Nothobranchius furzeri: one gene and its partners. The protein of the gene in region 3 purifies or fractionates together with the protein of the main gene of each other region. This does not show direct contact. Links are inferred from orthologs where the notes say so. Each region holds a gene or a part of one and is shown on either strand. Other genes may lie near its edges. The genes, in order: plrg1, snrpd1, prpf19, sf3a1, cwc15, ctnnbl1 and snrpa.

What was found.
Region 1: the proteins of prpf19 (region 3) and plrg1 purify together in Homo sapiens (affinity purification with mass spectrometry; 8 studies listed by BioGRID and IntAct, counting the BioPlex papers as one, with this or other methods). This does not show direct contact. The link is inferred for Nothobranchius furzeri from reciprocal best matches to the Homo sapiens genes PRPF19 and PLRG1.
Region 2: the proteins of prpf19 (region 3) and snrpd1 fractionate together in Homo sapiens (co-fractionation; 3 studies listed by BioGRID). This does not show direct contact. The link is inferred for Nothobranchius furzeri from reciprocal best matches to the Homo sapiens genes PRPF19 and SNRPD1.
Region 4: the proteins of prpf19 (region 3) and sf3a1 fractionate together in Homo sapiens (co-fractionation; 3 studies listed by BioGRID and IntAct, with this or other methods). This does not show direct contact. The link is inferred for Nothobranchius furzeri from reciprocal best matches to the Homo sapiens genes PRPF19 and SF3A1.
Region 5: the proteins of prpf19 (region 3) and cwc15 purify together in Homo sapiens (co-immunoprecipitation; 4 studies listed by BioGRID and IntAct, with this or other methods). This does not show direct contact. The link is inferred for Nothobranchius furzeri from reciprocal best matches to the Homo sapiens genes PRPF19 and CWC15.
Region 6: the proteins of prpf19 (region 3) and ctnnbl1 purify together in Homo sapiens (affinity purification with mass spectrometry; 4 studies listed by BioGRID and IntAct, counting the BioPlex papers as one, with this or other methods). This does not show direct contact. The link is inferred for Nothobranchius furzeri from reciprocal best matches to the Homo sapiens genes PRPF19 and CTNNBL1.
Region 7: the proteins of prpf19 (region 3) and snrpa fractionate together in Homo sapiens (co-fractionation; 3 studies listed by BioGRID and IntAct, with this or other methods). This does not show direct contact. The link is inferred for Nothobranchius furzeri from reciprocal best matches to the Homo sapiens genes PRPF19 and SNRPA.

The regions. Positions count from the first base shown.
Region 1 is NC_091744.1:17,230,025-17,234,208, forward strand, and holds the start of plrg1 (pleiotropic regulator 1), read right to left. Parts: upstream 2,801-4,184; 5' UTR 2,658-2,800; coding exon 2,649-2,657; intron 2,453-2,648; coding exon 2,346-2,452; intron 2,111-2,345; coding exon 1,974-2,110; intron 1,829-1,973; coding exon 1,775-1,828; intron 1,700-1,774; coding exon 1,606-1,699; intron 1,505-1,605; coding exon 1,414-1,504; intron 1,010-1,413; coding exon 911-1,009; intron 815-910; coding exon 722-814; intron 181-721; coding exon 31-180; intron 1-30. UniProt on the Homo sapiens protein: Involved in pre-mRNA splicing as component of the spliceosome. Component of the PRP19-CDC5L complex that forms an integral part of the spliceosome and is required for activating pre-mRNA splicing.
Region 2 is NC_091759.1:18,894,640-18,898,479, forward strand, and holds snrpd1 (small nuclear ribonucleoprotein Sm D1), read right to left. Parts: upstream 2,370-3,840; 5' UTR 2,246-2,369; coding exon 2,232-2,245; intron 1,687-2,231; coding exon 1,610-1,686; intron 1,277-1,609; coding exon 1,076-1,276; intron 803-1,075; coding exon 726-802; 3' UTR 501-725; downstream 1-500. Other genes in the region: gamma-glutamylcyclotransferase, read right to left, coding at 1-4. UniProt on the Homo sapiens protein: Plays a role in pre-mRNA splicing as a core component of the spliceosomal U1, U2, U4 and U5 small nuclear ribonucleoproteins (snRNPs), the building blocks of the spliceosome.
Region 3 is NC_091741.1:94,861,653-94,865,742, forward strand, and holds the start of prpf19 (pre-mRNA-processing factor 19), read right to left. Parts: upstream 2,801-4,090; 5' UTR 2,668-2,800; coding exon 2,649-2,667; intron 2,455-2,648; coding exon 2,305-2,454; intron 1,791-2,304; coding exon 1,714-1,790; intron 1,428-1,713; coding exon 1,286-1,427; intron 1,145-1,285; coding exon 1,071-1,144; intron 985-1,070; coding exon 919-984; intron 823-918; coding exon 781-822; intron 676-780; coding exon 601-675; intron 515-600; coding exon 439-514; intron 339-438; coding exon 229-338; intron 140-228; coding exon 1-139. UniProt on the Homo sapiens protein: Ubiquitin-protein ligase which is a core component of several complexes mainly involved pre-mRNA splicing and DNA repair. Required for pre-mRNA splicing as component of the spliceosome.
Region 4 is NC_091757.1:36,509,583-36,513,563, reverse strand, and holds the start of sf3a1 (splicing factor 3A subunit 1), read right to left. Parts: upstream 2,801-3,981; 5' UTR 2,586-2,800; intron 2,567-2,585; exon of another isoform or gene 2,476-2,566; coding exon of another isoform or gene 2,452-2,475; exon of another isoform or gene 2,398-2,451; coding exon of another isoform or gene 2,222-2,397; intron 2,132-2,221; coding exon of another isoform or gene 1,963-2,131; intron 1,875-1,962; coding exon of another isoform or gene 1,710-1,874; intron 1,634-1,709; coding exon of another isoform or gene 1,464-1,633; intron 1,389-1,463; coding exon of another isoform or gene 1,311-1,388; intron 1,228-1,310; coding exon of another isoform or gene 570-1,227; intron 482-569; coding exon of another isoform or gene 331-481; intron 251-330; coding exon of another isoform or gene 3-250; exon of another isoform or gene 1-2. Other genes in the region: ccdc157 (coiled-coil domain-containing protein 157), read left to right, coding at 3-250, 331-481, 570-1,227, 1,311-1,388, 1,464-1,633, 1,710-1,874, 1,963-2,131, 2,222-2,397. UniProt on the Homo sapiens protein: Component of the 17S U2 SnRNP complex of the spliceosome, a large ribonucleoprotein complex that removes introns from transcribed pre-mRNAs.
Region 5 is NC_091750.1:48,553,361-48,557,191, reverse strand, and holds cwc15 (protein CWC15 homolog), read right to left. Parts: upstream 2,436-3,831; 5' UTR 2,285-2,435; intron 2,200-2,284; exon of another isoform or gene 2,057-2,199; intron 1,955-2,056; 5' UTR 1,939-1,954; coding exon 1,808-1,938; intron 1,725-1,807; coding exon 1,612-1,724; intron 1,508-1,611; coding exon 1,407-1,507; intron 1,336-1,406; coding exon 1,225-1,335; intron 1,128-1,224; coding exon 979-1,127; intron 868-978; coding exon 738-867; 3' UTR 501-737; downstream 1-500. UniProt on the Homo sapiens protein: Involved in pre-mRNA splicing as component of the spliceosome. Component of the PRP19-CDC5L complex that forms an integral part of the spliceosome and is required for activating pre-mRNA splicing.
Region 6 is NC_091755.1:51,817,520-51,821,741, forward strand, and holds the start of ctnnbl1 (beta-catenin-like protein 1), read right to left. Parts: upstream 2,801-4,222; 5' UTR 2,653-2,800; coding exon 2,623-2,652; intron 1,575-2,622; coding exon 1,356-1,574; intron 1-1,355. UniProt on the Homo sapiens protein: Component of the PRP19-CDC5L complex that forms an integral part of the spliceosome and is required for activating pre-mRNA splicing.
Region 7 is NC_091753.1:42,104,708-42,108,564, reverse strand, and holds snrpa (U1 small nuclear ribonucleoprotein A), read left to right. Parts: upstream 1-1,219; 5' UTR 1,220-1,346; intron 1,347-1,656; 5' UTR 1,657-1,664; coding exon 1,665-1,740; intron 1,741-1,851; coding exon 1,852-2,024; intron 2,025-2,112; coding exon 2,113-2,271; intron 2,272-2,410; coding exon 2,411-2,575; intron 2,576-2,651; coding exon 2,652-2,740; intron 2,741-2,896; coding exon 2,897-3,056; 3' UTR 3,057-3,357; downstream 3,358-3,857. UniProt on the Homo sapiens protein: Component of the spliceosomal U1 snRNP, which is essential for recognition of the pre-mRNA 5' splice-site and the subsequent assembly of the spliceosome. U1 snRNP is the first snRNP to interact with pre-mRNA.

The DNA of each region.
Region 1 (4,184 bases), on a different chromosome or scaffold from region 3:
GATGACCCTGAGCTAATCCAAACAACGTACCTTGTTGTACTCCAGATCCCAACACTTGACCTGTTTATCTTCTCCACAGGAGAAGAGGTACGGACTGCGGCTGCTCACTGCTACACCACGAACGGTACTGATGTGTCCAGTCAGAGACAACTTCAGCTTCCCACTGGCCAGGTCCCAGATCTGTAGAGACAACCACCTTCCAGTTATCTCTGGATCATCACAGAAGCTTTAACAGCAACAGAGCCACCTTGGTATCACTCCCAAACGTTTTAACCCTTACCTAACATTAAAGCATTTTTTTGTGCTCAAATGACATTAACGTTAGAAAATGTAAACGTTGGGTAAGGGTTAAATACTGAAAGGATTTCTTTTTAAAAAACTGTATTGCAATGTCTGCACCTACACAAAATACAACAACCTGAATGTTTTACCAGCTCTAGATCAATAACAGCTCTTTACAGAATAGGAAAAACTATTTGGTGGAGAAGATGAAGTCTAATAACAAATCTAGACAGGTTCAGTCCTCTGAGACTTGTTACCATTAGAGACAAAAAGTAGCTTAAACCTGTTAATAAAGAATATAAAAAGCAGTTTAAAACCCTAGACCATTACTGATCCCTCTATCAACAGAGCTTTACTGCTTATATGTATTTATGGAGAATGAATGAATGAATGTAATAACAAACACATAAAAGCTGGTGTTTTACTCAGCCCGCCCGACCTTTATAGTTCTGTCTGCTGACCCCGTGACGAACCACTGATTTCCCGGTTCCACGGCGATGGATCTCACCCAGCCGAGGTGTCCGCTGATAACCTGACAGATAACGGTCACCACAGTTAAACAAGGCAGCTTCTAATTATTAATGTTGTAAACAAATGCAAGACAACTTGTGAAACAGTTGTTACGAACCCGAAACAGTTTCCACGGTGGATGCCACTGAGGTTTGGGCATTGTTGGAGCTCTCCTTATGAGCGCTGAGTTTCTGGTGCCACCTCCATCTAAGAGAGACTAAAAGATATACTTCAAAAGGTCATTAAGGATTTTTTTTAAGTAGCATGAAAGACTTATGAGTAGAAATAAACTGGCCAACTGAACGACACATTCATTAGCATTATAATGTAATTTTTATATTGTAAAATTAGTTTTGTATGTTTGTGAAGCATTCTGTCTTGCAACACTGTTCTGCTTACAGAATTTGATGCGACACTACCAGAATGAATAAGCAACATAAAAGTTCCATGGTGTTAAAGTTAGCTGAGCTCGCTATTTGTTTTTTAATTTATTTTCAAATTAGTGATTTTCTACTGCAGAAAAGAAACCCAATCTCTACTGGATTATTAGCTTTACACGTCTTTTTAAGACTCTATAAGCACTAACAAGCATTCTGGAAAAGTAAATTCACTGTGGTTTACCACTGCAGTGGACGGAGGGTGAATTCTCTCTGCTACTCCTGCATGTCTATGGATCTCTGCAACGCTGGCTGCAGTGCGACTGGCGTCCTGCCTGAAAGTACATGACATAGAGTATGTCAGAATATTTATTTTAACCATAGATCTGTATGCCAAATTGTTACCAGCATGGATTAAAAATAAATAATAGCCTACCTTGCTAGTGAGGGTGGTAAAGCCAGTGTCAAGGAGTGCACCGCTCCTTCACTGGGATTCCTGTGGATTTTAGTGTCGGCGGTGAGTGCCACACCTGTGGAGCACAAGCTACTGTTAGCACAAAATTAAAAGTAGTGCGGATTCCTAAAGTAGCAGAAAACAAATCTACCTGGTCCAGATGGATAAGCATTGGTCCCGGTAATCAGGTATTCTGGATCATCGCCTAAATAGTTTTAACAGAGTGAAAACATTATTAACTTTGGCTTAATCGCTCAAAAGAAGTTAAACAATCTATGTGATCCATAAAACTATGCAATATTTATTTTGACGGTTAACTAAGAAACAGTCACAGTGTGTTGCTCCCTTACCTAGCTGTGGGTAGCTCTGATGGCTGAGCATGCCGTCAGGATGATGTGAGACTCTTTCTCTGCCCTCCTTTAGGATGGGCATGTGTAAAACTGGTCCATACTCTGTCTTTAGTTTCACACCCATCTTCTGTTTGTGACTGCAAACACAGTCATTCATATACATGTTATACCGCCAAAATGTAAATGTTATCTAATTGAGCAACAACTCTAAACACCGTAAAAAATAGTTTCCTCAGAAAATATAAGCTGAGCAAACATCCATGTTTCTTCACTGAACGTTAAGCAAAAAACGTATCCCGGCGCATTAGAAAACATTAGTGAGGTTTGATCTGTAAATATTTACAAACACACTTTGGAAGCAGCCTGGGTTACCTTTCGTCATCCAGAGCGATAGCTTTAGCATGGTCGGCTACGAACATGTCATGCGTCCTTTTCAGCGATCTGAAGACCAATGTGTGGACAGAGTGCTTCTGGACATCCTGTAAAAAGCGAGAATTTTATTTAAAAAACATCGCATATAACAACCTAATAAAAAGTTATTTCTCACTCAATAAACAGTGAAACGGGCAGAAAAAGGCTATCAATTCCAGTAAATAGACAGGCCCGGGAGTGTGTTGGACGTTTCCTAACATCCTAGCGGACACAAAAGACATACATGAATGTATAAATCCATACCTCCGTCATTTTATAGAGGAATATACCGATAGAACAAAACTGAGGAGGAAATAAAGGTCTGCCTCGGTAAGTACAACTTGGTAGTAAAATAAATCCTCCTGACCACCACGACAAACCGAACGTTTGAGATAACCCGGAAGTAAACACGACCAAGAGTTGTTAAAGTTATATCAGCGCCACCTACCGGTTTGGATGATTCAACCACTTTTCCTGTTCATCATCAAGGGCTAAAATGTGACAGTTCAACGTATGAATAAAGCATAAAATTATTATTTAAATGTTTAATTGTTATTAAGGATATTTTCTATCAAATGACCCACCATGCTAGTTATGAGATATCTAAACTGCAGCTGTTACACACCTGCTTTAGACTCTATCAAAACCTGGATGGTGGGAGCTTTCTTCAGCTGAATGAAGATAAGACTGAGATCCTCATCTGTGCCCCAGACAAGCTGGTTCCCAAAGTCAAAGACTCTCTTGGTCAGCTTGCTTCTCACACCAAACCTTCTGTCAGGAATCTTGGCGTGACCTTTGACCCAGCTCTCACCCTGGATTCTCATGTCAGTTCTGTCATGCTCTGAACTTCAGATTTCATCCACACCTTCGTCTCCTCATGCTTGTCCTGCAACATGCTTTTCACTTGTCTGGCTTTGCGTGACCTCATGATCACCCTATTCTTCCTCAATAGCTTCTTTTCAAGCTGGTGTTTCTGTTAATTCTATCTTTTTCAGGATCCAACGATAAGCTTCGATCTTTTTAAATAATAGAAAAAATGTTTTTTGTCATTTTTATTTTTATATGAACCACCTCGTGATTTTTTAATTGAGAGGTGCAATATAAAATTGTTATTATTATTATTATTATCAAAAATAAAAACAATAATAACATAATTTGGATTGACAAGGTTGACAGATTAAATTAATTCATGATGCACAGTAACACAGAAATACAACCAATTAAAATTTATGTCAACTGATGTTAAAAGATTTAAATAATAATTAACGTTCTAATGCATTTGAAAATAGTCCGTAGAGAAACAGATAAAGTAAATTGAATTTGGTAGGAGCAGTCCTGAAAATCACGTTTCATACCAATACACTCAAGTGTTTATTTGCAGAGTCATACAGCTCAATTTTCTGAGCTAAAAACCCCACATTTTATTTTTTACATGGCACTGGAATTTACTGCGAGTCAGATGAAGTTTGAACTCAACCATAGCTTTCTGAGGTGAATGTAATGATGCATCAGTACAAATACTACCAGAACAAAACTCAGAGTAGATCATTTGTTCAATTGTGAGCACAAAATAAACAACCAGCCTGACTTCTTATTAACTCCTAAGTGTAAGTTCTTATTCAGAGCTGGAACATTTGAGAATATAATCTCTGTTCCTTCTGAAAAATGGCTAACTGTGAGGGAAAGTGGAGGTTTGCATTTGTAAGATTACACCAAATAAATTAGATAATGAGAAAGGTTTAGAAGTGGGACAAACAAATTAAACAGCCAAGTTATTAAAAGAAATTGATTCCATGTAAA
Region 2 (3,840 bases), on a different chromosome or scaffold from region 3:
ACATTGTGATAAAAATACTCCTGCTCGAAAAGAACCTGGTGCCTTCGACATGTGACGAATATGTTAAAAGATGATCGTTTAATATAAAATAACTAGCTTTGGGCAATGATTTACGTCATTCCACGAACCTCTACGTTAGCCCGGCAAGCCATCCTATAGGCTACCATCTACCAGGTCACTTTTCCTACACCGCCATCTAGCGGTGACTTTGGTCCCCGGTGTAATGTAAAACAACGTTCCCCCACCTACATGTGCAGTTTTACCAATTATCACAACTGATGTGAGAAACTGCACCTAAAAGTTGACTAAATAAACAGTTTTGCTTTATTTTGTCAACTGTAGTGGGATAAAGGTCTGATGACTAAATAATAATTTCATAAAATACATTTTTATTTTAGAGCCTGGCCTGCCAGACTCATCTGTGTAACTTTATACACAAGGAAGCGTGGGGCTGGCTAGTACACCAGTAGCATTGGGATCTGATTGGGACAACACAGTAGTTAATGATGCTAGTTTATGTGCTGACACTTTATTCAGTATTAAAAACCAACACAAAGAAGTCAGAGTAATTTGTCCTCTTAACCAGAAGTTTAATGTACAAAAAAAAAAGTCCAACTAAAAAGCACACAGAAATTCACAAAACGTTTCTGCTTTAATGAAGCAAAGGAAAAAAAAAATCCTGTACAAACAGTGAAGTGTTAGGAATCAACAGAACAGCCTTGCGATCATCTCCTTGGTCCACCTCGTCCCCGTCCCCTTCCTCTCCCACGTCCCCGTCCCCTGCCTCGTCCCCGTCCAGCCACTGAGGAGACAGATGAGCAGCATCAGCACAAGTGTCACAAACACCATATTGCTCATTTAGCATCTGGTCCTTTAAACCACTCCTTAAATTATGTCGTACAGTTAATGTTACAATTTAGTTCTTTTAATATAAACCCATGCAGAAACCTGTGCAAACACACCAGTTACATCACTGTGAAAACCTTTTTGTTCACGCAAAGGAGAATTCAGATTCACTTTCTAAAAAAAACACCTTAAGATAAAATTCAACTCAACATATCTTATGCATTTTCACCTTTCTCACCTGCTTCTCTCTTCTTGGACTTGATCTTTGGCTCGATGTCAACCAGCAAGGTGTCCAGAGGGAGGCTGTCTGGGAGGATGAAGTAGCGAATATTGTTGCCGCGGATACTCAGCGACTCCAGCTGAGTGGGCTCCCTGTTTTTTAGGGTCATTTTTACCGCCTTCAGGTGAGTGTTCATGCTCACATCAACACCTGAAAAACAGAGAGGAGGGATGAAACACCAGCCATAAGTACATCTGGCACTTGAGTTTAGGATTAATTTTACAGATTAGAAAATATTTTAATTTGCAGGTTGTGTGTGTGCTTGTCTAGGGTTTGTTAAACATAAAAAAATCCCATCAAATAGGATTAAATAATACAAAAACATACATTGTGCAGATTTATCTGTACTAAAGTCTGACTATGAGGATGAAAGCACAGCTGTGGGTATTAATCTACTTAATGCATACAAATATATGTCATTAGTATTGAAATTAAAGAGCTTCAGCTGACTCCTGGCTTATCTGACCACCTTTATGAGCTCACCTGTGATGGTGCCGTGAACCTGGGTGCCATTTTTCAGCTCAATGGTTACGGTTTCATGGCTGAGCTTCATCAAAAACCTGTGGGCATCATTGCACACGATGACTGAGTGAAAACATCACAACGTAATTGGGACATTTCTCGCAGAGGCTAGATAGTAGCTTAGCTTTAGCTATCTAGTTAGCCACCGATGGCTATTAGGTGACTTTTAAAGCGTTTGAAACAATAAAAACACTGATTATCCACCAGTTTAACAGCTAAACTAAATATTTACAAAATGAACTCTAACAAATTATGTTAAAACCCCATTTTGAGCCGCTTTAGTTGATTGACAAGCTAATGCTACAACGGTTGAATGAGTTAACGTCTAGCCTAATATTTTTACTTATTGAAATAGAAATGTACTTAAAGTAGACGTTCATCTATGTTGATAATTAAAACTGTGCGTAGGAACGTGTTTTAAACCCTCAGCGGTCGCCGTAACGTCGCTCAGGATCCATTACATTTTTCCACTTCCCGCCTCATCACCGTTTAATCAAATCCCAATCCATCCGGCCACATCACTTTCATTTGATCAGTTTACGTTAATTCTCCGGTTAATCCGGGACCTCCCGCTGCCGCCTACCTGACTAGTTTCATGATGATGGAAAACAGTAGAGAAAAATCCTCCACCGAAGACAAAAATTACAGCGATCGAGTGAAAACACAGGCCGCTGTTGTATTCGAAACGTTCAGGGATGTGACGTCACTAAAAGGCGACAACAAAGACGAGGGGGTGTAATTACCGCCATCTACTGGTGGAATTGTGATCCGTTCTAACACTTTTGTTTTATTTTTCTGTGCAACATGTTTTACAGTAGTGTTAAAATCCACAATCTTTATTTTACTACTAATTTATTGGAATCTGGCAGTTAAAAGGTCAAATATCCAAAACAAAGATCCCTAAATGATCAATATTTAGGAAGATCACTACCGTTACCTACTGCTGGATTCGTGATCTGCAGAATTTGCAACCAAAAGGTCAAAACGGTGTTTATGTGCAACATGTGTTAAAGTCGTAGTAAAATTTACATTTTTACTGATTTATCAAAATCTGGAAGATGAAAAAAGGTAAAATATCCACAACAATTAACCCTAACTGATCAAGACCTAATTCATTCAACAGATCAGGAGACAACTTCAGAGAACTTGTCGCAGTTGAATAAAACCACAAAGCAGCACTTTCAGCTCATTTTATTAAGAGTAAACTCTGCACCGATACTTAAGAGATTTGGCCACACATCAAATCTGTCTTCTTGAGACCTGCTGGGAATGTATCAAGTATAATCAATGAGAGTGCTTTTTTTTATTCCAAAGATGTAGGCTGAGACCAATAAATCATAAAGTGTGAAGCACAAAAAGAAAAACGGCACAAGGCCATTAAACTCAGCATTATTCCACTTCTAATAATAATAAAAATAAATAAAACCGTCATCCTCTCTGTGTGTTGCCTGCACATGATTGACGCAACACGTTATTAATATTCTGGAGCAGAAAAAGTCTCGACTCAGTGCATCTGCTGTTGAACTCTAGAAAAGAAAATCTAATTATGCAGTGGTTTAAAACAGAAGTCATGAAATATTACAGCAGGTGAGCACGTGTTCCTGGAAATCTTTCATGTGGAAACAGATAATGTCCTTTTGGGGTTTCTCTCCACCTTAACCATAGCAACTGAGTAATCGATCTTCAGATCAGCAGTCGTGTTTTATTCTCCTGTAAACGTTACAGCGGGGCTCAAACAGGAAGTCACACGTCCAACAAAATAAAATCAAAGGTCAGCTGGACGTGAACATTCAGATAAAGGGGTTAAACGTCGGGCCGCTGCGCCATGAAATGTTTTAGGCTTTTAAACTTTGATTTAGCGTGTTTAAAAAACAATGTTAACAAATAGAAACTAAAGAAGGCACACACACCAAAAGAAGATCCTCACTATAATAAGGAAGTGATGATAAATGATTTATTTCTAAAGCAGCTAATAAATACGAGTCAAACGATGCTGTAGTGTGAACGCCGATATGCTAAAAGCGTATAAACCTAAAGTGACTGAAAATGAAGGTAAACAGCTCAGAGATGATAAAATGAATTTCGTCGACTTGTGGGCTGCACGGTGGCGCAGCTGTTAGCACTGTTGCCTCGCAGCAAGAAGGTTGCAGGTTCGAAACTCGGCTGCGGCCTTTCTGCGTGGAGTTGCGTGT
Region 3 (4,090 bases):
TGAGCAGGTAGTCTCCAGTAGCATGAAGGGACAGACCGGTGACGCTGGCTTCGTGGGCACGCACCACCTGGATGCAGTTGCCCCCGGTAACAGACCACACACGGATGGTGGCATCAGGAGAGGCAGAGAAGACCATAGACTAGAGGGGAGAACACGTCAGAGAGAAGGATCACACCTGGCACGTTCCTTCAGTTATCAATAAAAGACCCCCAACGGACAAAGACTCACCTGAGATGGATGGAAAATGACAGAGGTGACCTTTTTGGTGTGGCCTTTAAGAGTCGCCACAATCTGCTCCTCGTTCTTGTCAAACACCACCACACTCTTATCAGCTCCACCTGGAGGACGACAACACAGTCAGCGTTGGACTAAATCGGCCCCGAGCGGGTGATTCGACACAACGCCAAATCAAATAGGACAGAGTTAAGCTCAGAGTACCAGTGAGCACTTTGCTGGTGTCTGAGGGACACACGTCCAGGGACAGAATACCAGGCACACTGGCGCTGTGAAGACCCTGAAGCAAACAGGAAACAAGTCCACCAGATGAAGCACATTCAGTCGTTTATAGGACCATCTTCATCATCCTGGTTCTGCACTTACAGCGTGGGAGGCCACTTGGCGGTACTTGCTGAGATCCTCGGCTCTAACCAGCTCCTCTGGAACAGTTTTTCCCCTCTACAGAAGCACAAGGAACTTTTTAAATCACACACAATCACAAGATATAAAAACTTTACCTTCCGTTGGAAGTTATAACTATAACAAGGAAAAAATGCTACAAACCTTTTTCCTCTCTGTGGTGAGAATAGTAGCCTTGTCTTGCAGCTGGAATGATCAAACAGATTAAATTGTTTAAATAAAATGAAATATGAGCTTATAATAAAATAATAAAATTCTGTGGACATAAAAAAAGTGTTTTACCTTCTGGATGATCTCTGGAGTCATTCCCACCTGTTCACTGATCTCCATAGGCTCTCCACCAGCACCCTGCAATACAAATGTGAATATTTTATACAAGAGGACTAAAACTACCAAGAGCTGAGGGTTAAAACAGTTAGGCATGGGTCACTCACTGCTGCAGCAGGCTGAGAGGCGGGGGCGGCCTGAGGGGTCACCAGTCCAGCTTGAGGTTTAAGTGTGGCCAGAGCTGCAAAAACAAAATAAACACATTTAGGACATTTTAAACGTGCTTATGTTCCCATTTAACAAATAAACCTTTGAAATAACACGCCAAGTGGCTATTAACATTTTAGAAACACCAAGATGTGTCTTCTTAGGACATACAGACCTTCTCTTGCAGCCGTGACCTCCTTGTTGAGTCGAGCGATGACTCTGCAGGCTGCGTCGTGTTGATAAAGGGCGTGAGAGAGTTCCTGGCGAGTAGTCTGCAGTTGCTGCCGCAAGGTGAAGCTGTGAAGCATGACGGCATCCTGTAGGACGCATAAAAAAAACAACTCTTCCTGAGATTTGAAATTAATTTATTAGAAATGACAGCAATGTCTTTAATACTTGAGCTTACAAACCCCAAAATTACTTCAAAAGTTACGTAAAAGTGTCATATGTTGATCTATGTGTTTGACGAGTTTTCAGATTTATTTTTGTTCAAATAGCAGCTGTTGTGTGAAAAATAAAAGGGTGATTCCTGTTCTAAATAGTCAACAATAACACACAGGTGTGAGGTGGACGAGTGTCCTCCTGACCGTTTCCATCACTCACCCACTCATCTTGAAGAGACTTGAGAATAGCTGGGATGCTTGTTGCTGATGGCGCCTTTGGTCTGATGGGGTGGGTCACTAAGCGGGAAGACATTTTCCAAACCAGGAAAAATTCAGTCAAACCTTTTTAAGTTAAATATGTTATTTCAGTGTGCAACTGGATTGAACTGGTACAGTTTATTGAAAGGCCCAGACTTATCAGAGTGTTACTAATAATAAATTAAAACCATTATTTTAAAATTACGACTCAATTAAAAATAAAATAAATGAAAGATCAGATGGCCATGATCATTTCAGTTAAAAACGACGCAAGACAAAAAGTTTAGTTATTTACCTTTATTATAATAAACTGTATTTTTAATTTTGATCCCTTTTGATGCCTGGATTAATAATCGGTTAGCCTTAGGTTAAATAATCTGTCCCAAACAACCACTTCAGTGTGAATAACTCAGCATTTCATGTTTATCATGTTAAACAGGCTTTAATACAATGCGAATTTCAAACTCGTCGTTTACTCATTAATTCATTCGTAGTGTCCAAAAATATCAAGTTAATCAAACTTAAATAAAGTCAAATCGAGGGTGTAGTTCACCTTTGATGTCCACTAGCTGCTCCTCGGACAGCGGCTGTCCGTTCATCGGGTCCGTCCCATTCTCGGCGATGTACTTCTCTATCAGCCTCCGCTCAAACACATGATTGGACACCGGGGAGATGCACGGGTGCTCCGGCACCTCGTTGCAAACTACAAACAAACAAAAGGAGAGGGCGCATAACGCTCACAACTCAGTAAAAACAAAGAAAAAAAAGAGAATGGAGGGAAACTGAAGTTAAATACGGTTTGCGTGGCCGCTAATGTTAGCTTCATTAGCTTGTAGCATTAGCATGATACCGAGCTAACTCACAGGCGCCGTCCTGCAAATTTTCATCTTCACTTACTTGCACAAACCAAAGACATGTTCCAAACGCAGTCCTAACAGTGCCCTCCTAAACGTAGACTGTGTTTTTTGGCGTCTTGAATTTCCCCCCGCTTGTGAACACTTATATTTAGTTCAAACTGGAGATAGCACGCTGTCCTTTCATTGCCGCTATAAAGGAACTGCTTCCTTTTTCTTCGTCGCTGGTTTCCGCCAACAATCAAACCGCACTCATTTCAGTCTGCACTGCCCTCCACCGCTTAAAACACACCACTGCACTCTTGAAAATCTTACAGGGGTCTGCAACCAGCAGTGCAAGTGGCTCTTTAGATAAAAATTATTTTAAAAAGCACATTTTTAACATAGACATATTAAAAATTGTTGGTTAAAGCAGCTTTTCGGGTTTTATGGAATAACTACATTGAATATCCACATCAAAATGAAACTACAATTACCATTTGACATAATTTTCCACAAATATCAACATCCCAGAGAAAAATCTCCATTCTACGTTTGCCAAAGTATTTTTTTTATCATTTTAAAATTGACTAATGGAAACAAATGTTGGATATTTTTAAATGACAGCAAATCTAATAGTTCCTTATTGAAGAAGGCACAAATATTTCTTGCTTTAATCTCAGAATTCTCCCATTAATGTCAAGACATCTGAGCAAAAAAAAAAAAAAAAAAAAGAAGATAACTTTCCTCTACGTTAAACCTCCAACATAGATTTTTATCATAAATGGCGTTTTTCCTGAACGTCCTCTAACAGTTGAGGCTCTGAACAATTATTGGGATGGACTGAGAGAAAAACGGCCGTTTGGATTGTAAAGAATGCAGACCCATGCTCAAGCAGATTTCTCTATAGTCAAAGAATAGATAATATGAGGCGTTTGTGTTAAATATACATTTTATTGTTTTAGAGACAACCTTCTGATAGTCAATAATGAATTACATTAGTGATGCTATAATATGTTCCCAGATTTACAGGCTGTTGCCCTATAATAGGTTACATTTCTACAATTGTCTAGAGGGTAATAACACTACACCTGCAAAATAACTTTAACTGCAAGACAGATATTTATAATATTTTTTGCAGCAGTCAGGAATGAACAGGATGATTATGCACTTTAGTTTATGCTATAATAATGTGGCATTTTAATAATTTTCTCTTGCAAACCTTAGAGTAACTATGTTGACGTTTATGCAGACCTAGGGATCATAGAAGGCCAATGAACACTTGAGACACCCGGCAAAGACAGTGCAGATCATGTTGGTCCTGAGGGTCTGGAGGTAGGTAACAGCAGGAGATTTCATGAGCACCATAGTGCAATGTGTGACATGAAGGGTAACGCTCAACCCGTGGTTCAAAACTCAGTACAAACCCAAGAATTAAAAGTGTGCAAACTGGTGCACATGAGATTGTTCATGTCAGCTTAGAATCATCTACTGTAATATTTCCAT
Region 4 (3,981 bases), on a different chromosome or scaffold from region 3:
TCATGAGTGAGCTGTTAGGTAGTCAAGACTGCATCAAAAGCCTCCAAAAAGATCTGGCGGACATCCAAGCAGCCATCGTGGACGTCTTTTCCAGAACAGGACCGGTCAGCTTTACCTCTTGGAAGTTCCCTGACAAACTCTCCTGTAATGTGGACATGTTGGCTCTGCTGGAGGAGTACGACTATGTAGACGGAGAGGATGCCTTCAATCAGCACTCCCACATTGTTTTACTGGAATTAGTGATTGACAGGTAATAAAATGTGTTTTATATGTTATGCATTGTTACCAAAGTAATTCTATTAACATTTGCCTTTCTCCTTTTCTAAAAAGATTATTGCTACTTCTACAAAGTGTTAGTGTTTACAATGAGGTGCCGAGAGGCAGACAGAGAGGAGAGCAAACCCAGCAGACAACATACTTGTCAGTTGGACTCGTGGTCAAGAACTACTGTGGGAATTTACTCCTATCAGCCAACAAAAAGGTAGTATTAATGTTAGAAAATACAAAATACTCTAAAAATTGCATTTTAAATGAAAGATCTGGATACTTTTATGCTTTCTTTTTCACAGGAGCCCTTTAAAGATACAAAGCCATTTGACTCCAACAACACAAATATGGTGCTGTCCAACCCTGCTATAACTAGCTCGAAGACTGAACTTAGTAGCTTTTGTGCATCTGCCTTGTCTTCAGCAAGCTCATTTGATTTTGTCCCACAAACTAACAACACTCCATGCTATCCTAAAGCTGAGCAGCATCATGTGAGCTGCCAGACAACAAGTTCGTCCCTTATTCCCTGCAGCGCTTGCCATCAGGTGCAGTCCCTTTTGAGAAACACGGGAGATGCATTGATAGATCTGTTACAGAGTGAGGGTTTGCCCTCATCTCTGCAGCCTCTCGCAGCAGCTATGGAGGACATTGTGGGTGACATGACATCAGGCGATGTAGCCCAGTGGGCCGAAGAGCAGCTCCGGGACACGAGCCGGCTGACCAAACATCTTAAGGATGTCCAGGGTACTGTGCAGCCTCTTGAAGAAAGAATTGCCGTAGCTGAAATGGAACGTGACAGTTTCAAATCTGAGCTGGAAAGTGCACAGAAACAATTCAAGCAAGAGCTGGAAAAACACCAAATAAACTCTGTCCAGCTGGAGTTTTCTCTACGGAAAGCACAGAGATCCTCAAAAGAAACAGAGCAAAGGCTACAAAAGGAGCAACAACAGCTGAAGAGAGGTAGTTAACACAATCGGTTTTATAACAAGAATGTATTGACATCATAGTTTTTACTATAAATATTTTTCACATTTTTGTGACAGAAAATATGTCCCTGGAGGAGACTAATAACAGACTAAAGGAGAAAATAGCACTGCAACATGACAGCTTACAAGTGCTTGGTAATGAGATGCAGATTCTGTCATTCAACACATCTACAGTATGATGCTGCATAATGACGATTCATTTGCTGGTAGAAACTGAAAAGAAAGCACTCCATGAGAAAGTGAAGAACCTGCAAACAGAGAAAGAGGCCTGCTGCAGACTGCAGGAACAGATCCAACAGCTAGAAACTCAAGTTTCTGATGCTACATTTCTTCTTGACAAGGAGAAGGCCAAGTACAGGAGCGCCTGTCGTCAGCAGGAGGTCAGTGTCACTGTAAAGGCCAGCATAGCTATAAAGGGGATCCTTCACACTGTTTTCAATATAATTGTGTATCCAGTCAATGCTGGCAAAGCAAAAGTCGTTGCTGGAAAGAGTTGATGCTCTCGATGAAGAGTGCGAAGAGCTGCAGAGGGAGCTAGGAGAGAAAGAGGAGGAACGGATCACCTTACACAATCAGATGTCAAAGGTGGAGGAACAGCAGGCTCAGCTCATGCAGCAGCAGGTATATATGTGGCCTAAAATGCAATACAATTGTACTGTAAATGGCCTTAGTTATAATAAAGTCTGTTTTGTTCTTGTTCTTCCATCAGAATTTGTGTGAGGAGCTCCAGAAGGAGAAGCAGACATTAGAAGTAAATGCGGATGAGTTGAAAAAGCAAGTGGCTGACCTGACAAGGCGTGTGGACTCTTTAAAGGAGAGGGAGAGACTGCTGGTGGCTTTCCCAGAGCTCAACAACTGGTCCCAGGCCCAACCTCAGAGTAGGTTGCTACTGAATAACATTATCTGATTATATTTGATTAGATTTATTTCCAGTATAATAATAGCACATGACTTTATTTACATTCTAGGTACAGGAAACTTGATTTTGGATATGGAGCAACAGCTTCAAGCAAACAGAATTCGTATAAAAGTGATGGAACAGGAAAATGCTACTCTGCACAAAAGTCTTGAGAAATTGAAAACAAGAGCTCAGCAAAATGCCTGCAGGGTATGGATGTACACAAAGGAGTTTCATGTGAAGTAGATCATGCACCGTTGGGATTATTATAACTCATTTGTAATGTATGTGTCTGAATAGGAACCTGCACCTCTGCAGACATGAAGCCAGTTTTATTCCTTGGAGTTTCATGTAAAAAACCAGATCAACGTGGATGCAACTGACTAAATAAAAACCTTATTGTTGAAAAAACTGAGCTGACATGTTTTACTTGCCTTTATTAGAAACAGCGTTGGTTGCTTTATTAATCCTCGTCAGTGCTGCATTTCCTGTTTAGAACACGTCAGCATAAAGGTCTCTGAGCTTGTTCTCTCTGTTCCCAAACTTCATCTTGTGATGTGCAGGAAATGCGGGGGTCAGTGAAGATATGCAAATGATTCTGTTGCGGCCTTTTACCACCCAAAACGAAATAATTCCAACAAAAGGCCATGGGTGGCAACCAAGCCCCCACAATGCCGCTCAGAAAATGGTCCCATCCCGGAAGTAAGAAAAATTGCAGTTCCACCCTCATCCGCTGGGGGCTGGTGCCAGAAGCGAGCAAATCCTCATTGACTCCCATGTTAAAAATGCCGATTTCACAGCAGAAATAAACATGTTTACAGCCTGGTGCCAAAACATGTTTTTTGTCTAAATTATCTAGTTTATACTCATGACAACTCTGAGGGGGGTGAATTTTTTTCTCACTCTTCTGTTTAAGTGTATTGAAAGCCTAAAATTCTGTATAATTAATGAGCATCCAACACACGTGACCGCCGCCTCAGACCCACGTGACCACAGAGCTAGCTCCGTGGAAAGGCCTCAGTACAGCCTCGGTCTGGCTTGGAAACTGCTCCGGCATTTTGAGTCTCTGTGTTTGTGTATTCTTCTTTGGATATTATTGGTGCAATTGTTGGACAAAATGACTTGCAGTGGTATTAATTGCACTAATAGAGCGTCCAAGGAGTCTCCACTTCATTTTTTTCGGTAAGTTAAAATCTATATTCGTATTTTATGTCACTGCTACCTTTAAACTAGCTGAGTTTACCGAAGTAGCTAGCTAACTATCAGTTTAACATGTAGCATGTACTGTTTAACCATGAAATTTAAATGTAAAATACGGTAAAATAATTAATAGGGCATATTTAGATGGGTAATAGGGTAAAACCCAGTGCATTTAAGATAAAAATGGGTTGAAATATGACGGAGCGCTAAGAGGGAGACTTCTGTGTCCATTCTTCCATCCGGTAATCCCCAGCGGTCAGGCCGGGCAGCCTGGACGATCCGGCGCCTATTTGCTGCGCCTAGCTGCTGCGCGGTCTGACCGCTCGTGGAGTTTTTCATGTCTGACTTTAACCGCATCTAATACTGTATTACGGCGTGAGCGCAACAGCGACAACTTAATATCGATGTGTAAGCAGCCTGAGTGGTAGGGTGTTTTCATCTGAACCCTCCAGCAGGCTATGCTGCACTATTGACGTGTTAGCGCGCGGCGCTAACAACTTAGCAACGTGACATGTCTCTGAGAAAGCGTAAAACACGGACGCTTCTTCTGAAGCGGAAAATAACACCTCTTCTTAAGCAGAGCAGGATGTCGCCTCGGCTCGTTCACGGCCGAGCCGGACTGAGCTCGAT
Region 5 (3,831 bases), on a different chromosome or scaffold from region 3:
TCATCACTAAATGAAACAAATCAGCTGTGTTCATGATCTAAACCATGCAGGAAACTTGCTGGAACTAGACTGCAGCGCCAGGTATGTCAGCTCAAGTTCTTCTAAGTTCAACAGATCAGACCAGCAACTGTGAAGCTGCAAGTGGGATATTTTGGCCACAGGGGGCGATAGGGGCTGGGTGGCATTTCATTAACACTGTGAAGGGTTATTTTAGCACATACTGGCTCAAGAAAATTATCTAAAAATATGAACAAGTTACAAAGTATCTTTTAACCCTCGCCACATCCTTGAACTTTTGCAAAACCCATTACCTTTTGCACAAAAAAAGCACTAGGGAGTGGAGGGTTAAATGAAAAGCAACACTCTTCATACCCATTTCTGTGCTGATTTTAGGCACCCCACCCCTAGCATTTTTTATAAAACTTAACTTTTTAAGTTAATTTACCCTTTAAAATTAAAAAATGCACAATCTGTTATTTCTGTGAAATTATGCAAAGTAATTCAAGGGAAAAAAGTCAATGTTTATTCAAATAATGAAAAATGCATGACAGAAATACTGAAATCACATTCTGAAATGTGCTTCAAACTTTCATGATTTACGCAAACAGCAACTGACCTGCAGACAGTACGGTTTCCAATTAGTTAGACTGTAAATAAATGCCAGCTGCAATTAAAATGCTTGAAACTAAAACATTTTCAATTAAAAAAGATCAAATGAAACACACACACAAAGTCCTCTACTTTACATATTTCTCCATAAATTTCTTGTGGAACTCAGAGCGCAGCGTGTCGTTGACAAAACGTTTCTCTTTCCGCGCCTCATCCACTCCTTTGGCGCAGTTTTTGAACACTACGTCATCATCCCACCTAGAAGTACATCAGAATTATTAGTGGTGGTGAAGGAATATATTTGTTTTTCCAAATGCAAACAAACAAAAAACCAACATTCTTGCTGTAACAAGTGAACATAAGAAATACCTTCTCTTGACTCTGAATGTGTTCTGAGTTTGGCTCTGTTGCTGTTGTTGCTGCTGCTGCTGTTGCTGTCCTGCTAAATTTATCAATGGATTTCCACTCAAAATATTTTCCATTCGAATCCTCTCTTCCTCTGCCTTCTGCTCTCTTTCCTAAATAACAAAAGAAAAGCACACGGAGGTTAAGCCATCCTCTATAACATCACTTTTCATTTATAGCCAAAGCAAACACAAACTTAAAACTCTTTACTTTGCGTTCTTGCTCTTCAGCTCGCTCTTTCTTAATTTTTTCAAGTTCAGCCAGCAGGGCTGCAGTGTCGTCATCATCACTTTCTTCATCTGAGTTCTCGTCTTCGTCATCCTGTAATGTAAAAATGGATTAATAACTTTATCCAGTGTAAGTCTGGGATGTATTGCAATGTAAATCCTTACATCAGTGAGAGGGTCATCGGCATCAAGGTTGGCTGCTGGGATCTGATCCAGTCTGGGCCTTTTTGAAGATGATGATGATGAAGAAGATGATGTGGTGTGCTCTGAAGAAATAAAATCAACACAATACAGATTAAAGGAACTATGCCAGAAACCGTTGCATACATCCTTTTTGGATCTAATCTTTATTATGAGTAGAAAAATCCACCTCTTGGTCCCCTCTCTCTGGTCTTCTCACGAGCAGCTACACGCTCCCTCTCCTCCAGCTCTCGGCGAAAATCACGGGCACGCACTTCCTCAGGGGCATCCTGGGTAGGCTGCCTTTTAATTGAGATGAAAGAAACACAGTTTAAGTAGTTCGAATAAATATTTAAGGTTGAGAAACTGGAACCCACTGTTCTGACCTGTATTTGATCTTGGTGTGACCTGGAAGATCCCGACTGGAATACTGCTTAGAAAGAGCACTCAAATCCCCTTCTCCTTTTCCTCTACCCCCTCTCGCCGGCTCAAATGTTGGTCTTGCAGCTGTAGTCATCTTTGATGGCCGTGCTCTGGCAAAACGTAAAGCAGAAAATAACTGACCAATTCATAAATTACAATAAGTAATTTTAGATATACATCATAATAAGTCTAATGTTAATATGAGTTAAAACCTTTAACGATCAGTTTCCTCCTAAATGTTGTTTAAAACACAAGTTAGCTTGATAGCTTCCACCGCTAATCAGTTGCTAACAGGCTAACGTGGGTGACAATGCAATTTAAGGAACATTTCCTATTTTTAAAACCCAATGCAAGATAATTACGAGAGTAAACATGTTTGAAACACAAAGCTTAAAATAAACAACACAATTTAAATACGTTTTTAAAGCAACAACACTTACGAAGCTGCTTCCAAAAGTGAAAAGGAAACGTTCCTGTACACAACGGTGCGTCACTTCCGGAACTAGACGCGTTCAGGAACAATCGGAGAAAAATCGTGCATATTTTGACCGGCATGACAGGACTCCAAGAACCTATTTTACTTGTATTGTTTACGAGGTCGGCTGCGCAGTGGTTAGAGCTGTTGCCTTGGGTTCACTTCCCAGCCTGAGATCTTTCTGCATGGAGTTTGCATGTTCTCCCTGTGCATGCGTGGGTTCTCTCCGGGTACTCCGGCTTCCTCCCACAGTCCTTAGGTGTGTGTGTGTGTGTGTGTGTGTGTGTGTGTGTGTGTGCGTGTGTGTGTGTGTGTGTGTGTGTGTGTGCGTGCATGATTGTTTGTCCTGTGTGTCTCTGTGTTGCCCTGCGATGGACTGGCTTTCTGTCCAGGGTATATCCCGCCTGATTGCCCATTGACCGCTGGAGATAGGCACCAGCCCACCGCAACCCTACGTGGACAAAGCGGGTTCAGACAATGGATGGATGGATGGATGTTTACAAGGTCAATAAAATGTAGTGTTCAAATTAAGAAAACCACAAATCTTGTTTACTACAGTATGATAATTACAGACCAATCTTAGTGCTTCCCCAGTTTTCTAAAGTCCCTGTTGCCCTTTTCAAGCTGGATCTAACCTCCATCTGTCTGCAGATTCCTGCACCCGACTCCTGTTGAAGATCTCAGCTACATTTATGCTGCTCCCTTGTTTTCTCCATTAATTTATTGTTTAAAACCGACCGTAGTCTGTGAACTGATTCTGTAAGTCGTGGGTTAGACACTTACCTCACAACATGACACCATAGTGACTGGTATAATTACGCAATCCTTCGATGAAAGAAGGTCACAGTTTAGTCTTGTATGCGATCATGGTTCAGGTTTGCATTTCATTATTTTCTGACCTCCTGCTATGACATTTTTTTTACCTGAAGCTCATAAATATTCCTGAAAAGTTGAATAAACAGAAATCTTCAGTGCAATGCACCGATATGAAACTTTGGGGCTGATACCAATATCTGATATATCGCTGTTATGGCCGATAACCGATGTTTGCCAATACCGATATACTGACATTAATGCTTCTAAGATCAACAGATTTGTAAAGATTAAAGCTGAATTGACGTTATGTACACACACCACACATGTTTACACTGTTAGATGATTGCAATCACTGTCACATGACTAAACAATTACACATCACCTCCCTCACCCTCTGAAACAGATAAACAAATGAAAACAAGATGGAAAAATTATCAGTTAATATTGGCCCAGTTTAATGTATCGGACCAATACCGATATTAATGCCAATATATTGTGCATCCCTATTTTGAACCCTAACCTACTGACAAAGTTTGTTTGAAAGTTGTCCTCATTCAGATAAATACAAAGATGAAGAGATAAAGTGAAAATATTGCTGACTTCCCTTACCTTTACATATCTGACCTCATAACATGTGATAAGAATGAACGCTCAGACGGTGACTTTGAAAAACCCACGGACCAAAGTGTAAATATT
Region 6 (4,222 bases), on a different chromosome or scaffold from region 3:
AAAACTAACAAAACAAAGAGGAGACTCGCCTCTTACATCAGGAAGTTGTTACAAAGCTGCCAATATTTGTCAACAACTGGGCATCATTATATTTATCTTTAACAACATTTTGATGGATACTTCCAGAAATGAATGGTAAAAACTACACATTGTCTCTTTAAGTACATCCATCTTGTCGAGTCTCAAAGAAAGGCTCAAGTCTAAATTGTCCAAAGTTGATGCCAAGGCTGTTTCAAACGAGCACTGTTCCCTAGCCAGCGGCCAGCGCCATCTTTGTTGTTTTTCTCCATCGCAGCTCCAGCTCTAAGCCCACCTAACAAACGTAGAGCTCTGTGATTGGCTCGACACAAAACTGTTCAGGGCAATGATAGATGTACTGAGGCTACGATAGGGCGTGGCTTTGACCTGCAGGGTTGCAGTGATTAGCCGTGAAATGCTGCAGTTAACCCACCATAAAGACGTCTCCAACACCAAAAATAAATAAGACATTAACGGACCAAAACAAAAGTGAAACTGAACTGACGCACGCAGCAGAACCAGCTTCAGGAACCACCGGGACTGCTTCCTTTCCACATGAGAAACACTTGAAGTCTCCTGTGAGGAAATAGTTTAAATTCTCAAAGCTGCTAAAGGAGAAATTTAGCACGACGGCTCGTCCACCTGAAGAGCTGGCAAGAAAAAAAAGCTGCAACATCTCCTACATGTTGTCATGTCTGAGATCATCAGGCAGACAAATAATTAGAATATGTTAGTGACTGAAGGGATTTAACAGTAATATTAGAACAGTGAACAATACAGTGAACGACAGTTCATTTAGTAATTTTGTACAATTCCCTGTCTACAATAAGCCAGTATGGCAGGCCATTTTAACATTTAATCAACAACCCCTCTTTGTAAGTCCAGTTCTACATAATACAGCAATATAATTTATCCATGTCCAAATAATATTCTTACTGGTGAAATTGTAAAAGAAAGATATAAACAAGTAGAAATTATATTTAAGGATACATAATAACTGCACTAGCAGGAATTTAGTATCCTCTGGTTAGTTTTTATCAACAAGGATTATTAATTTAAAGTGAATTTACTTAATATTAATTATTAAACTACAAAAATATCTAAGACGTTCAATAAACTATGGATAGAACGATTATTTCTGCTCTGTCTAATTCTGGTGCATTAACCCTAACAATATAATGGTTAGATTACTAATTTGCTATTATCTTAATAATTCTAAATTTGCTGCAAGAAAACGGATGAAGCGTTCAGTTTAGGCAGATTAACACAAACAATGTAATAAATCATGCTTCGCTTCACTTAAGTACACACCCTTAACGAAAAGGACCTTTACCCACCTCAGGTTCTTCCCCATCCTGATCCATCAGTTTTTCCAAGATCATCTTTCGGTCTTCAGTTATTTCTTCAGTTTCTCTCATCTCCGCTCCTCCTTCAGCCTCCCTGTATCTAGCTAGCTCCCTCGCTCCCAGACCTTTCAGCTGCTTCCCTCCTCTGGAGTTGTCGTCTTCTCCTGCGCCTCCATCACCGTTCCTCAGGCGCTTGGCTCCTCTATCAGGCTAAAAGATGAAAATAAATGGATATAAGGTGAAAGTGAGTGGAGTGAGTCTCACATTGTTTAAATTAAAACAAAACTACAAACTTTGGTCAAAAAATAAAACAAAGAAAATGTATCTGGGCTGAACAGGATTTCTGAAAATGTATTTTCTTTTGTCTAATTGGTTTTTACTTATCAGAAAACTTATACCATACTAAATGACAACATAATATGTAAAATTATATAATAAACAAATGTAAACAATCAATTTAATCAGGTTAATGGTTACATTGCCAAACTGTAATTCACCATTTAGTTACAATAAATATGTGACCCATACATTTAACCATCTTATTTTGGAATAGCTACTTTCCTTAAAATATATTTCTCTGCAAAAAACGAAGAAAGCCATTAAAATACTTCTTATTTTCAATTAATGTGAAATAAATTTAAAAGAAAGCTAGCTCCGCTCCTTCTCTCGGGTGATGCTTGACACTATTATATGAAACTCCTTTGTATCAGGTCGTTTTGCTGTCTCTAAAAATAAACAAGCGTTTTCAGGAATATTTTAGGGATAAAAATCACAAACTATTTTACAATAAGACACAAATATAACAATAAAACTGTTAATAAAAACAGAGAGCTGATGCAGAGGATTGCATGTTAGTACAAAGTGTCATAAGTGATTATTTTATTGTTCTTTGTGGACAAAAACAAAAAAACATAGACGTAAACACTACTCTAGACAAAGGCATCCATTAGGAAAGCCAGGGGAGGCAAAAATAACCACGCAAACATAAACTGACGATCCTTAGCCTTCATTAGCTAACAAGCTAACTGTCACGTTTTTCTTCGATGAGAAAAGCTAAACTGCTCCATTACCATGGAAGCGCAAGGAATGGGTAATTTACAGACTCGTAGATCTCCACACATAAATAAATAAGAAACTAATCAGCTTTCTGGATTTTATTGGTAACTTTTAGCAAGGCTGTGTTGCTACATGCATGCCAACAGTTAAGAGATTACAGAAAGAGCGTTCCCTGCGTTGACTGCTTGAAAAAAATACATACCTGATAGTTCAGAAGCTCCCCGACGTCCATTTGTTCAGATTAGATCACTTCACCGTAAGATAAATGCACTTGGAATTAAGAAAAGAACCCTGCACGATTGGCTTTTAGCTAACAACAAAATCTGAACATGCCGGCGCTGTGCCGTAAAATGCTGGCCTGCCGTATGAAAAGAAACACTGTCGTAAAGCAGAAGCCTCCACAGTTTCTTCCTGCGGGGCGTGTGTGTGTGTGTGTGTGTGTGTGTGTGTGTGTGTGTGTGTGTGTGTGTGTGTGTGTGTGTGTGTGTGTGTGTGTGTGTGTGTGTGTGTGTGTGAGAGAGAGAGAGAGAGAGAGAGAATGAGAGAATGAGTGAATGAACCTTTGGTATAAAACTAGCTCTTGTTTTTTTGTAAAAGTAAAACAATAAATTCGTGTGTCAGAAATGTTTTTCCAAGGCCTCCAGGGCAACCTGCTGGCTTGATTGTCACCCGCAAGTCGCTTTGGACAAAAGCGTCTGCCAAATACGTAAACATAAACCAAGCAATTAATATGGAACTGTAATAATAATTAGCTTTTTTTATTCCTCTGTATCTAAAAGGGTTATATTACAAAGTAAATCAATGTAAGATTGTACCAAACAATCTAAAAATAAGATTATTATCTAGATAATAATTATGAAAGATGTAATGTTAATTCAAACATATGGTTGTTATGCCAGCCAAATGGTTATCGCTTAGGATCAATTTGGTAATTGTCTGACTCTAAAATCAGCACATCTGCTTTTTGCTTATTTTATTGCACACTAAAAATACAATACAATGAAGTATCAGAAATTGACACCAGCCTGCTTATTATTTTAATATCTTTACATGTGCATGAACTAATAAGCTCAGAAATCAATGTCTGTGCATCATAACTATGCTACCTTTGTGCTGACTTAATAACAATATGAGCTCCTTACCAATCCTCCTCAAAGCCACATGTATGAAGTTCTGGTCCAATGGGCTCAATTTTGCTGCATTCATAACCGCAGACATTTATATGCCCGGATCTCTTACTGTTCCAGACAAGCAGAAAATCACCCCTTCAGTGAGAAACATTGTGAAATGTCTGAGTGGAGAGCAGTGTCGACGCCTCTGTTGCCTCTCCAGTCTCTGGCCAGTGATCTGTGACAGTAGAGCAATAGAGACAACATTCAAAAGGAAGGCCACTGCCAAGCACTGAAGCTTGACGTCCAACCGCACGAGGGGCAAGGGGAGAGAGGGAAAGGAAATCAAAGCAAACACGAGTAATCTAAATGCTTAATAGCTCAGTTTATGAACAATGCAATAAGTTGTTACTCAACTATTGTTTTACTTTTTTTTTTTCAAAGATGACACCGATCACATAATGAAGATGGTGTCTCAAGATAGCAAGTTAAGTGCAAATGCGTGCAATTTGCTCGGTTTCTTGTATAGGAAACTTTGTTCTGATTGACTTAATGAACTGACCAGAATTGGAATGTTTATTATGTGAAATACCCTGAGACGACTCTTGTCGTGATTTGGCGCTTTGTAAATAAAATTGAATTGAATTGAATTGAAAGTGTAAAACTGTGAAATATTGGATAGAAACTTTCATG
Region 7 (3,857 bases), on a different chromosome or scaffold from region 3:
ATCTTGCGATGGACGGATGCCGACAATGGACAAAAAAGTGACAGACGTGTGAAGTCAAGATGAAACAGTGATGTTAAATCACTGTGATGTTGCAAATTATCTGCATTGTTCATGAAGTTTACAAAAAAAAAAAGTCCACAGGCACTACATTCATTTGGGATTTGTTCCTTAATGCGTTCAAAGATTAGTCCCTGAATAAAACTGTTGGGTTTTCACCAGTATGTATTGGTTAACTACCTATTCTTCCCTGCTTCATTACTCATTACTCCCTAAGTCGTTCCCTAGTTACGAAGCATAATTTTACGTACCTTATTGTAAAGTTACTGTTATTCTTCTTAGGTTGTCTACTCTGCCTTTTTTTGACGTCATGTTTTTCCAGTATTTCTGATTTACTGTTCAATTCAATTCAAAAATACTTTATTAATCCCAGGGGGAAACTGATTGCTGTAGTATCTCAGAATAATAATAATAATCAAGTCATCAAAGAGTTATTGTATATTACAATGGCTGTTGGCAGGAAGGATCTCCAGTAGTGTTGCAGCGAAACTGAAGAAGCCTCTGACTGAAGACACTCTTCCGTTGTCGGACAGTCTTGTGAAGAGAATGCTCACGGTTGTCCATAATTTTCTTGATTCTCTGGAGAATCCTTCTTTGCATTATCTCCTCCAGTGGTTCAGAAAGTGCCGAAACTCTGACTGAGTCCTTGAAAGGGCTTGGAGTTCCTCCATCTTGTTGGCCAGTGATCTCACATTGCCCATTATGATCGATGGGAGAGATGGTTTGAATTTCCTCTTTCTCTGTCTCCGTTTTGCTCCCGCTCTGCACCCACGCTTCTTGCGTTTTAGTTAATTTGGGATTTGTCGCGTCAGTTGAGGTATTATTTCAGCCTTTTCAATGTTAAACAGCTGCTCCCGATTGTAAACCAGCTTGTTGCCATGGTTACGCATCATAACAAATGCTCAAAAAGTGAAAAAACCTAAACAATAGCAGCAAAAGTCCTCCAAGCTTCACAGCACCAGAAACAGAAAAGTAAAGTGTCCAAAAAAATACCGTTTTTCTTGAGAAACTAGAAGAAAAAATGTCCAAGAAAAGGCTAAACTTACATATAGTTAACAGAGCTACTCCAACATGCAGCCACCCAGAGCAGCGTAAATAAGAAGAAAAACCATTTTAGTTTTAGCCATTGTAAGTTAAATGGTGTTTTGAGTTTCGCTATTTTGATTTACACCGTGTGGTGGCGGTAATTCACCAGAACGGTTTGGTAACCAACAAATAAGACAAAGAAGAAGAATTTCTTCCTCTTGTTTTCTGGGGAAAAAAGTCTCGGAGCTTTCATTCAATTTCAGGTTGGTACTACGTCAACATCTAACGCGTTTTACATGGTTAAGTGCATTTTAACTGTTGATTTAAAATATTTTTGACAAGCTTAAACGATTTGAGGTAACGTTGGAACTAGTAGAAGTATTTAGGCAGATTAATGACGCTAAATGCTGTTAGTTAGCTTTTAGCTAACACGCTGTTGTTGCCTTCCGCCATGTTTGTTACCATTGCGTTTAGATGCTGGATTTTTGAATGAAATTGGACTTGAAACTGCGTGAAAATAAGCACATGTTTGAGTCTTTATTTTATTTTTAGCTATTTTATTTATTCTCCTAGCCTTAAACATGACCACTCCAGCAGAGGTGCGCCCCAATCACACGATCTACATCAACAACCTAAACGAGAAGATAAAGAAAGATGGTGAGTTTCGCATCATTTTCTTTCCTTTTCTTTGTTTATTTCACGCACAATTAATGCAAAGTCTCCTTTATTATTGTTATTGATTATTTGTTGTTTGTGTGTCTCCCTCAGAGCTGAAGAAGTCCCTTTATGCCATCTTCTCTCAGTTTGGGCAAATTTTGGACATTTTGGTCGCACGAAACCTGAAGATGAAGGGTCAGGCGTTCGTTATCTTTAAAGAGATTAACAGCGCTTCTAATGCATTAAGGTCCATGCAGGGTTTTCCTTTCTATGATAAACCTATGGTACGTCTATTAAACATGTTTAATAATGCACAATTTAGACATTTCTGATGGAAGTACACGTGTGACTCAAATATATACTTTCTTGCAGCGAATCCAGTACTCTAAAATGGATTCGGATATTATAGCTAAGATGAAGGGGACTTTTGTGGAGCGTGACCGTAAAAAAGAAAAGAAGAAGCCCAAACCTGAATCTACAGGAAGTAAAAAAAATGCTGCAGCGATTGCTGGGGTACCTTCTGCAATCCCAGTGAGTGCACTAGGTGTTTTTTACAATCATGGTTAAACAATCTAGATATTTGTTAGTGAAGTAACGGCAGGTTTTAGATGCATTAAGAGTTAAAAGCTCAATTAACATGAATAGAAACTAAACGTTTGTCATTCTTTAGGGAATGCCACCAATGAACCAGGCTCCTCGCATGATGCACATTCCAGGCCAGCCACCTTACATGCCCCCTCCTGGAATGATGCCTCCTCCTGGGATGGCTCCAGGCCAGATTCCTCCTGGTGGGATTGCTCCTGGTCAGATGATGCCAGGACAGATGCCTCAGCAGGTAGCTTGTGTTCTTTTTCCTCACAGAACGTTTTGTTTCCTGTCCTGGTAGTTTAATCCTTACTCTCTTCCCACAGGTTTCAGAAAATCCACCCAACCACATTCTCTTTCTCACCAACCTGCCAGAGGAGACGAACGAACTCATGCTGTCCATGCTCTTCAACCAGTCAGTACTCATTTTCTAGTCATACATTTAAACAGATGCGTAAAAATGGATCAACTTTGACTGTTTTGTGATGCTAACATTGCAAATAATCTGAGAATTTAATTCTCTCAAACTGTTTTTTCTGTAATTGTAACTGAGCTGCTCTGTGCGTTAAAGGTTTCCCGGCTTCAAAGAGGTGCGTCTTGTTCCTGGTCGTCACGACATCGCCTTTGTGGAGTTTGAAAACGAGGTGCAGGCTGGCGCGGCACGAGATGCTCTGCAGGGCTTTAAGATCACTCAGACGAACGCCATGAAGATTTCTTTTGCCAAGAAATAACGCATCTTCCACCAGGTCCTGATTTAATTTGCATACATGTCCGTACATGTAAGTATCTGAGTCAAGTTGCTGTTAAGAAAGTTGGAGTGAAAAACTGGGAGCTCTAACTTTGTGCAATGGTTTGGCTTTAATCTGTAATGCTTGCGCAACTTGGTGTCCACTTCTCTGTTTTTCTGTTTCATAGTTTAAATTTTTTATTATAAACTGTTAAAGCATTGCACCCAGTGTCTGGTCCACCAGACATTGTACCTGGAGCTATTCTTTTTTTTTTATCTTGATTAAAATTTGAATTGGTAAAACACTAGACTGTTCTTTCTTTCGCTGTGTGTGTGTGTGTGTGTGTGTGTGTGTGTGTGTGTGTGTGTGTGTGTGTGTGTGTGTGTGTGTGTGTGTGTGTGTGTGTGTGTGTGTGTGTGTGTGTGTGTGTGTGTGTGTGTGTGTGTGTGTGTGTGTGTGTGTGTGTGTGTGTGTGTGTGTGTGAACAGGTTTGAGCATAAAGGATAACTCAACATTTCCTGTCTGAAATGTCAAAGAAAGGAATTGAGTTTAGAGTTGCATTTGCTTAATCAAGCCAAGCCAACTTTGTTTATAAAGCACTTTAAAAACAGCCCTCGCTGACCAAAGTGCTGAACATAAAAACATAAAAGCATAAAATAGAATACAGTGTAAGGTTAAAAGCACACTAAAATAAAACACAAATCAAATAGAAATCCAAAACGTGTTGAAAGCCAAGCTAAAAAGGTGGGTCTTTAAAGATGATTTAAAAGTTTCCAGTGAGGAGGCCTTTCTAAGATGTGCCGG